3 linked regions of the Macaca fascicularis genome follow. The protein of the gene in region 3 purifies or fractionates together with the protein of the main gene of each other region. This does not show direct contact. Links are inferred from orthologs where the notes say so. Each region holds a gene or a part of one and is shown on either strand. Other genes may lie near its edges. The genes, in order: ACOT9, ABHD10 and KCMF1.

Region 1 (3,658 bases), on a different chromosome or scaffold from region 3:
AGAGATGGGGTTTTGCCATGTTGCCGAGGCTGGTCTTGAACTCCTGGGCTCAACCTGTCTACCTGCCTCAGCCTCCCAAAGTGCTGGGATTACAGGCCTGTGCCACCGTGGCCAGTAGATAGCTTTTATTTTATTGTGTTGGGACTCTAGAAAATTTCTGCATAAGTTAAATAAACACTTTCTTTGCATCTGGAAAGGGCTAATTCAGTGTTCAAAGTTTGCTTTATAATTGGGTTTATCTTATTTATTGAGGAGATATGGTGCGATAATAAAGAACAGAATAAATTGTTCATAATGAGTTTGCTCAGTTGTTTACCAAATCGATTATGGACTTCTGAAACTAATAAAATAGACCAATAATAAATCCATTAAACCTAGTTGCCATCTTTTATTTATTTTGTAGATAATTACCTAATTGGTCTCTGCTCTCAAGAAATGTTTAGTGGGAGAAATGATTTATGGAATAGCCTCATGAAAACATACATACACTTGTGAAACAACTACAGACTCCTGCAAGACAATATATACTAAGGGTGGTATGGCCAGATACTCTGGGAGGAGGGTAGGTCTTTGAGATTGCCAGGGAAAAAGCCGTGGAACCTACTCTGTGTTTTATCTTGTTTTTATAGGCTTTGTGCCTTGGGCAAGGGGCAGCTTACTCCTGGAAGAGGACTGACTCAAGGACCCCAGAACCCCAAGAAACAGGGAATCTTCCACATTCATGAAGGCAAGCATGGTGTCTATGTTTTATGTCTATGTGGTGAAAAACCTTGTTTTACTTTTATTTGAAAGGTATATAGAAATGTAGTTTAGAGCAAATGAGGCATATTAAAGGTAGATCTTTCATAAACATTTCATTGACGAAATGACCAGGATAGCTGCATAATATTAATAGCTTCAGGTAGAAGTCACATTCAGATTTTGAACTATTGTTCCTGGGAGCCTTGAGGACTGAGCTCTTTTAGTTAAGCGATTTCCACTTCCTGTGTGTAGGTTCTGAAGGCATGGGAAAAAAGAGATGGGCCCATTAGTTGTACCGAGTAAACACTCCTAGTCCATAGTTATGTTCGAGGGATCCTGTTAGTCCATGCGTAATTAAAGTTAATTTCAATTACCAATATGATATGCAAACTGTGGATTGTCTTTATTAAACTAGGAGTATTCACTATAATTAAAATTTTGGCTTCTTTAAAGGGTCCAAATTATATTATGTGTGTATATAAATATATATGTAAATAAAATTTTAAATTTTTTCCTTCTTGGCCCTCAGTACTTGCCTCTCTTCTTACACTGACTAAGCTAGCAGTAATTATTTTATGTCAGTGAGCATCAGTAGTCCATATCCTGTTTGAGGTACTTTCTATCCATTCTTTTTTTTTTTTTTTGAGATGGAGTCTTGCTCTGTCACCCAGGCTGCAGTGCAGTGGCAGGATCTCGGCTCACTGCAACCTCTGTCACCCAGATTCAAGCGATTCTCTTGCCTCAGCCTCCCGAGTAGCTGGGATTACAGGCATGCTACACCACGCCCAACTAATTTTTGTATTTTTTAGGAGAGACGGAGTTTCGCCATGTTGGCCAGGCTGGTCTCAAACTCCTGGCCTCAAGTGATCCGCCTGTCTTGGCCTCCCAAAGTGCTGGGATATCAGATGTGAGCCACCGTGCCTGGCCTGTTCTTTTTTTTTTTTTTTTTTTTTTGAGATGAAGTCTTACTCTGTCGCCCAGGCTGGAGTGCAGTGGCGTGATCTTGGCTCACTGCAGCCTCCGCCTCCCAGGTTCAAGCAGTTCTCTGCCTTAGCCTCCCGAGTAGGTGGGATTACAGGTGCCCACCACGCCAGGCTAATTTTTGTATTTTTAGTAGAGTCGGGGTTTCACCATCTTGGCCAGGCTGGTCTTGAACTCCTGACCTCATGATTCACACGCTTCGGCCCTGTCCATTCTTTTATTCAAGGCACTTAGGAGGAAAAAATCAGAAATAAGACTAAATTACTAATGGTTGTTGTTTGCAGTTCTGTAACATTTAATTGTAATTATACACCAAACTTATGGTGTATCCATAATTGTTTGATAGAAAACCATTTTTTCATGAAAGTTAAAATGCATGTTAATATTTTTTTTTTTTTTTTTTTTTTTTTTTTGAGACGGAGTCTCGCTCTGTCGCCCAGGCTGGAGTGCAGTGGCGAGATCTCGGCTCACTGCAAGCTCCGCCTCCCGGGTTCACGCCATTCTCCTGCCTCAGCCTCCCGAGTAGCTGGGACTACAGGCGCCCACAACCGCGCCCGGCTAATTTTTTGTATTTTTAGTAGAGACGAGGTTTCACTGTGGTCTCGATCTCCTGACCTTGTGATCCGCCCGCCTCGGCCTCCCAAAGTGCTGGGATTACAGGCGTGAGCCACTGCGCCCGGCCCGCATGTTAATATTAATCATATTTGGTTTTGATCACTTAGTTATTGAAGGACTGAGGATTGCTATAGTTAATTTCCTATAACTGGAATATGTATTTTGAAGTGCTAGGAAAAACACATGAACTCAACACAGTATTTGAAATACTATAGATTTATCTTTTAGTTTCCAGTTATTGCTGGTTCTCTAATTGATTTTCCCTTTATTCATATAGCATGTTCACCTATACATGTGAATCATGGTGTGTGTGGTAATTAGTATCAGCTTTTCTTTTAAGAGCTTAAATTTTGTAAGCACTAATATACGCTTGCACTTTTGGGCAGTGGCATTAACTAAAATTGCATTCTTTGCCTTAGCTTGATGTAAGTCTTTGCTTCATTTTTCTGGCTTAAACTTTTCTAACAACTAGCAGACTATAAATATATGAGAAATTAATTATAATGAGACTCAGATTTGGATATTAGTACATTAGTACATTAGTCTCTGAACTAAGTAATTTGATCTAATACTGCGTATAAGAAGATAGATGGGGGCCAGGCACGGTGGCTCACACCTGTAATCCCAGCACTTTGGGAGGCCAAGGCAGGTGGATCACCTGAAGTCAGGAGTTCAAGACCAGCCTGACCAACATAGTGAAACGCCGTCTCTACTAAAAATACAAAATTAGCTGGGCATGGTGGTGTCTGCCTATAATCCCAGCTAATTGGGAGGCTGAGGCAGGAGAATCACTTGAACCCACGAGGCAGAGGTTGCAGTGAGCTGAGATCATGCTATTGCACTCCAGGCTGGGCAACAAGAGTGAAACTCCGTCTCAAACAAAACAAAACTACAAAAATTAGCCGGGTGTGGTGGCACAGCACCTGTAATCCCAGCTACTGGGGTGACTGAGGCAGGAGAATCGCCTGAACCCGGGAGGTGGAGGTTGCAGTGAGCCGAGATTGTGCCACTGAACTCCAGCCTGAGTGACAGAGCGAGACTCTGTCTCAAAAAAAAAAACAAAAAAAACCAAAAAAGAAGATAGGTGGGAATCCTGTTCATATCTCCATCATAATGGTTCTTATTGGCTAACACTGATACAGCCCCATTAAATGAATAGTTGAAGTTATCCTTTTCTGTTTGTTTATATAAACCCTGTGATTGGCATAAAGGTATTCATTTGTGCACTAAAGAGACAGTATAGTTCTTTCAGGTTTTTAGGGAGCAGAGGCTTGATCCTGTCCCTGAGCTGTTTGTTGTGGCATTAAATGGAAATCTATGG
Region 2 (3,027 bases), on a different chromosome or scaffold from region 3:
AATTTTGAAATCTAAACAACGTTTGTTCTAAGATTTGATTTTATTTAAACATGAATGATACCTGGACCGATTCCAAGAAATTGTAGTGCCTTTCTCACCCTTCATTTTTCTTTTCAGTTGGGGTAAAGCAACATCTGATTTAAGATAGTGTATGATAAAGTTAGATAAATTTAAATTTAAGTTTGAGTCTTAGCCATAGTTAGTAGCCTAGCCCTGAACTGTTGGGCACAATATTTCATTTATCTAAACCATATTACCCTCTTTTGTAAAAATAGAATAATAACAGAATTATTATCAGAATCTTATGGAATAATATGTATAAAATACCCATCACAGTACCTGGCGTATAGTAATTATTGATAATATTGTTATGCTTTTGTTACCTCTATCCTCTTATTCAAGAACTGCTTTCTTTAGATTACTTGAAACTATTGCATATGTTAATGTTACTTAAAATCACAAATACTTTTGTTTTTCTTTCTGTTTCCAATAGCTAAAAAAGGAAGTAGAGATGAAAGGTGTGTGGAGCATGCCATCAAAATACTCTGAAGAAGGAGTTTATAATGTTCAGTACAGTTTCATTAAAGAAGCTGAACATCACTGCTTGTTACATAGCCCAATTCCTGTGAACTGCCCTATAAGATTGCTCCATGGCATGAAGGATGACATTGTACCTTGGCATACATCAATGCAGGTTGCTGATCGAGTACTCAGCACAGATGTGGATGTCATCCTCCGAAAACATAGTGATCACCAAATGAAGGAAAAAGCAGACATTCAACTTCTTGTTTACACTATTGATGACTTAATTGATAAGCTCTCAACTATAGTTAACTAGTATCACGTGTTTAGTTGGTATGTAAACTAATGTATCCAGAAGATTGGAAGAGGATAAGAAATGAAAGATCCTGATACTTTAGGTTTTTCTTTTACCTCTATTTTGTAAATATCAGATGAGTATTATTTAATGATGTATTTGCACAAGTAATGCATATTGTGAAGAAGGACCAGCTGCTGTTTAGAAAATTTTCTCGTTCCTTCTGTCCTTGATTTTTTTTCATTAAAGTATTTCCTTTTTTTAATTCAAGAAAAGTTTACCTTTCTTATGCTTATGTTAGCTATTCCAGCTCTTAATTGCATCCTTTTCTAAATAGGATTATTAATAAAGCGTAAATATTTTGTTTATTATAGACAGAAATTTGTAACATTACTTCTGCTTTGAAAATGCAATTCACAAAATACAGGGAAATTTTTATTGAAGTAAATTTGAAATGATGGAGAAATTTCAGAAGCATAATAAAGTTCACAATAAGGATAATACTTTATATAATGTATAAAGTATAATTATATATTATATATGTTACATAAACTGCACATTATATTCAAACTTAAAATTAAGCTTTTACTTTTTTTAAAGGCCCAAAATTGTACAGTGATACGAGGAGCTGTTTCTAAATTTTGGCTTATGTGTAATATATTTAAATGGGGAATTTCATCTAAAACAATGATGTAGCATTTTAATATTCTGATTGGTAAAATTAAAGAGGAAGTTGATCTTTATATGTTATTACTTATAGAAACATTCATTATTTTATTAATATTGCCCTAAGTACAACTAGGCACGTGGTTGCCACCTAAATCAGAAGACTTTCTGAAGTCACTAAGAAAGTGTGAAATGCTAGTGTAAAGGTTGCTTTTTTTTTCTTTCCTAAGTAACTAAAGTGAGATGGAGATTAAGCCTTGATATTATTGAGTTAATGTTTTTTATTTATTAATTTTGACTGGATTTTATTTAGCTTGATTAGGTTATTATCTGTCAAACCTTTTAAGTTGACAACATGACTCATATATATACATGTATATAAAATGAGCATGTGTCGAAGACTTACTCAACTCATTAATGAGGAAACCAGCAGATAGTAAAGCTGGTTCAAAGTGCAGTTCAAGAAACTAAGGGCATTGAAGAAAAAATGTTGAGAGAAAATTGCTGAGCAGAAAAAAGTGTTAATGAAGCTGACCTGACTACTTATGCTTAAGACCTGCTTTACAAGGTTGGCCCTTGATTGGCATCTGGGAACTTGGAGTTCAGGGGGCTTCCACCATTCCCACAACTGATCAAAGTAGCTTACTATATCTAAACTGTAAAACAATATAGTTTCTCCTGAAAACAATATAGCTTTCCTTCTGGGAGTCTGGAATTTTGGTATGTGCCAGGCAGAGACTACCCTTTGTGACCAGCTCCCATTAAAAACCGCAGGCACTCAGTCTCTAACAAGCTTTTCTGGTTGACGGTGTTGCACAAGTGCTGTTACAACTGGTTGCTGGGAGAATTAAGCTCATCTGTGATTCCACTGGCAGAGGATTCTTGGAAGCTTGCACTTAGTTTCCCCTGACTTCACCCCATGTGTCTTTTTTCCTTTGCTGATTTTGCTTTGTATCCTTTAACTGTAATAAATCATGGCCGTGAGCAGAACTGTATGTGGAGTCTTATGAGTCTTCCTAGCAAATCTTCACATTTGGGGATGAGTTGAGGGCCTCTCCACAGATGCAAAACTGGTTTATGTCCTATGGGGCAATTAAACTACAATCCATGGGTTATCTTTTATACTGGACAAAAATTACAAACCACAAAGAAATCATACATGAGCGCAACTGTCTCTGGTGTTGGAGTGGGTTGATAGAAGATGGCACTGGCTATTCAAGGACTTACTTTGCCTAGACGTTGCTAGGTGTGAGGCTTGTTAGGAACACAAAGGCAAGGGCCCTTGCCAATGATGGTTTTCTGTACAAAATAATATGATTAGAGATTCATAATACATATGTAGAGACAGTATAGCATAATGGTTAAGGGCAGAGACGAACTTGGTTTTTAATTCTGGCTCACCATTTACTAGCTCTGTGACTGAGCAATTAACTTCACTGAGTCTCAATCTCATCTACCTCTGTTGAGATTAGAGGCATTTCCAGATACAAATCTAAACAGTACACCATTCTCCAAACAGCCACTATAGAGGCGTCTCTGGAGGA
Region 3 (3,658 bases):
AAGGCTGCAGTAAGCTATGGTTGTACCACTGCACTTCAGCCTGGCAACAAAGTGAGACCCTGTCTCAAAATACATATATATATAAAATCATAATATATAAATTATCAAATATATAAATATGATCGTATCACTTTCTCTAAAACCCAAACCATCCTTATTAATATGATGGAACACTGCATGTACAGTGACACCTGAAGGCCTCCTGGAGCTGCCCATCTGGTAGTTAAATAACTCCAGAACCATCAGCTGAAAAACTGAGAAGCCAGCAAAAAAATGAATCTGCATTATAAAGCTGGTCTGTTTGGTGCTTTAAAGGAAAAATCTCTTCTATATGATCTGGCCTCCCCCACCTCTTATTTGCCTTTGTGGAAACGTAGGGTTGTCTTCATGAGTTTTGACAGCTATTTGCGACTCAGGACCTTTTTCAGTTTGACTCAAACTCAGCTATGTAAGATGGTTGAGGCTGCTGGGAATTTGACTTCGTGATAAATGTAATGTTAATCTGTCTGTGTGTCTTACACAAGAAATGCAAATCTGTTTTCTGCTTAGCAGCAGCATTGGAAAAAAGCTTGAAGACAGATTAAAACTGATAATCCAAAAGGAATCTTTGATCTGCTGAATATAAATTCAATATTGTTCCTTTTTCATTATAGGTGGTATTTGAGATTTCATGAGCTATATAGAGAAGCTTTCTTACCTCACACAGCCAATACACACACACACACTCACATGTTGCCTTATATTTGAGTGTTTTTTTAGGGTTAATAGCCCTCCCTCATAGATAGAGTTGGGACATTTGCACTTTTAAGTTAAATGTGCTGTTTTTAAATGCTTACAATTCAGGAAGTCTTTATATCTCTTTAGCAAGGGCTCAAGTGATTTTTTTTTTCTTTCTGTGAAATATTTTCATTTTTTTCTTAACTTTTGGGTTATGATGAATCGAGTGGTGTTCGACATGTACGTAGAATGTTTCACCCTGGCCGGGGATTAGGAGGTCCTCGTGCTCGTAGATCAAACATGCACTTTACTAGCAGTTCTACTGGTGGACTTTCTTCTTCTCAAAGTTCATATTCTCCAAGCAATAGGGAAGCCATGGATCCTATAGCTGGTAAGTTAGTTTCACATTAATAAGGGAAATGGCAGGGGAAGGAGGAGCTCCTTTTAAAACTTTTTGTGATGCCAGGTGCGGTGGCTCACACTCTGGGAGGCTGGAGCGGGTGGATCACTTGAGGCCAGGAATTCAAGACCAACCTGGCCAACATGGCCAAACTCCATCTCTACTAAAAATACAAAAATCAGCCAGATGTGGTGGTGGGCGCCGGTAATCACAGCTACTCAGGAGGCTGAGGCATGAGAATCACTCAAGCCTGGGAGGTGGAGGTTCCAGGGAGCCGAGCTCGCACCACTGCACTCTAGCCTAGGTGATGGAGTGAGACCCTGTCTCAAAAAAAAAAAAAAATTGTGAGATTTTTGTAGCCTCACCTCTCTGATCATAAGCCATGTTCCTTCACAAAATTGCCAAATACTTTAAAAGTGTAGAATGTGTTCAAAGCAGATACTTAACATAAAGTAATTCATACTCTTCTGGTATCACTTAAGTCCAGTAGTCCCCCTCTCATATGTGGTTTTGCTTTCCTGGGTTTCAGTTACCCATAACCAACTACAGTCAAAAAATAGGTGAGTACAGGACAGTAAGATACTTTGAGAGGGAGAGAGACCACATCACATAACTTTCATGGTATATTTTTAGATTTACTCTATTTTGTTGTGAATCTTGTACTATGCCTAATTTATAAATTAAACTTGAGCACAACAGATAAGTATATATAGGAAAAAACATATAGGGTTCTGTGTTATCCAGATGCCCATTTCAGCCATTCACTGGGGGTCTTGGAACATGTCTCCTGCAGGTAAAGGGAGTGGGAGACTCCTGTTCTAGAGACATAAGATGATAAAAAATGGTTTTATGTTGTATTTGTGGCCTCTATTGAAGCCCAAGGAAATCATAAAAGATTTCAGTTTGAATACCTCCAAAATTTCATGGTTAAACCTCCATAAGTACACATAACAAATGTCCAAAGCACATTTGAAATTAAGGTTTTATAAGACATAGCTAACATTTTTAAGAACATGTTATCTGTAAAATTCTATCACAGATTTATGCCTATCTCAGGTGTTGTGCAGGGCGCCTCATGGCTTCCAGGTACACATACATTCCACCACATGGACACATTTCAGAACTGTTATCTATAGCTAATTGACAAGACTAAAAAATTAAGCTCTTCTCATGGAAGAAAGGAACGTAAGACTTAATGTCCTGATCTTGATTTGAGAACTATATTGTTGTAGAACATACTGAAAGGTACATGTTTAATAGCTTGGGGAAAATCTTAAAAAAAAAACAAAAACAAAAATACACAGTTTTTGAACCTGGCCATGTCACTGGGTCTAGTACATGACAAACCTGGGAAGTTGGTAGCAGAACACAGGGTCAGAATAAAATATAAGAAATCACTGTAGCCTGACAATCTGCAAGACACACCAAGCAGACAAGTGGTAAGACTGTGGGACGTGTGCACACATTTAAAGCAACAATTCTGAAATGTGTCCATGTGGTGAAGTGTGCACCTACCTGGAAGCCATGAGGTGCCCTGCAGAACACCTGAAACACTGGTAAGTGTAAATCTGTAATAGAAACTGAGAACATCAGAGCTAAATGACAACTTAGGAACACAAAGGAGGAGACAGCAGACACTGGGGAAGGGTGGGAAGAGAGAGAGGAGCAGAAAGATAACTGTTAGGTACTGGACTTAATTGGGTACTGCGTGATGTAATAATATATACGACAAACCCCCGTGATGTGTTTAACTGTGTAACAGACCTTCACATGTACCTCCAAATCTAAAATAAAAATTTAAAAAAGAAAAAAAAAACCTAAGAATAATTTTACACCTATCATGTTATTAAAAAGTTAGATATACCATATAAAATTTTAATTCCAAATGTGCTTTGAACATTTGGGTGTGCAACAACAAAAACAAGCCTAACAAACTGAGTTTGGGGGATTTAAAAAATATTTCTTCATCCAAAGGGAATATTTACCTGCTATTTTGGTGGCAGACACTAAAAATTAAAGTAGTTTCTGAGAGCAGAATTCAAATTTGAGAAATTTTCACTTGTTTTTTTTCTGTCAGTGAAAATTAGTTTATTTTAGTGATAGACTGTATATTCCATGAAAGAGTGGTGTAAGAGTGCTATCAAAAGCCTGGGATAAAGCAACTGAACAAGAAAACAAACTGTTAATGAGTTTTAATGATAAAGAGTTTTTGCTGGCCTAAGAGTGTATGCAAGGCAATCATCGGTTCCCTATAAGCGAGGTAGACCCTCCACTTGGAAGAAGGCATTTCACTGCACCTTACGTAGATGAGGGTGCAGGGACAAAGGTTTACACCTCTCTTAATGAGTACAGCCTTATGGACACAAGACAGTCTGGATCATAACAGGCCACTAAGTACGCTGTACAGTCAGATGCAACAGGTTCTCAGGAGCCTTGCTGAGCACTGCTAGTGGTACCTACTGCAGTGGTACTCTGAAACAGCAGTACCAAAAGGTACTAGAGGGAGAAGGCAGAGGCGAGTGTTCAAGGGCCACTATCAGA

Evidence for each region.
Region 1: the proteins of KCMF1 (region 3) and ACOT9 purify together in Homo sapiens (affinity purification with mass spectrometry; 3 studies listed by BioGRID and IntAct, with this or other methods). This does not show direct contact. The link is inferred for Macaca fascicularis from reciprocal best matches to the Homo sapiens genes KCMF1 and ACOT9.
Region 2: the proteins of KCMF1 (region 3) and ABHD10 purify together in Homo sapiens (affinity purification with mass spectrometry; 3 studies listed by BioGRID and IntAct, counting the BioPlex papers as one, with this or other methods). This does not show direct contact. The link is inferred for Macaca fascicularis from reciprocal best matches to the Homo sapiens genes KCMF1 and ABHD10.

What each region holds. Positions count from the first base shown.
Region 1 is NC_088395.1:23,661,304-23,664,961, reverse strand, and holds part of ACOT9 (acyl-coenzyme A thioesterase 9, mitochondrial), read left to right. Parts: intron 1-629; coding exon 630-727; intron 728-2,614; coding exon 2,615-2,641; intron 2,642-3,658. UniProt on the Homo sapiens protein: Mitochondrial acyl-CoA thioesterase. Catalyzes the hydrolysis of acyl-CoAs into free fatty acids and coenzyme A (CoA), regulating their respective intracellular levels. Regulates both mitochondrial lipid and amino acid metabolism.
Region 2 is NC_088376.1:171,098,159-171,101,185, reverse strand, and holds the end of ABHD10 (palmitoyl-protein thioesterase ABHD10, mitochondrial), read left to right. Parts: intron 1-493; coding exon 494-838; 3' UTR 839-2,478; downstream 2,479-3,027. UniProt on the Homo sapiens protein: Acts as an acyl-protein thioesterase that hydrolyzes fatty acids from acylated residues in proteins.
Region 3 is NC_088387.1:36,552,626-36,556,283, reverse strand, and holds part of KCMF1 (E3 ubiquitin-protein ligase KCMF1), read left to right. Parts: intron 1-933; coding exon 934-1,108; intron 1,109-3,658. UniProt on the Homo sapiens protein: E3 ubiquitin-protein ligase which accepts ubiquitin from an E2 ubiquitin-conjugating enzyme and then transfers it to targeted substrates, promoting their degradation by the proteasome.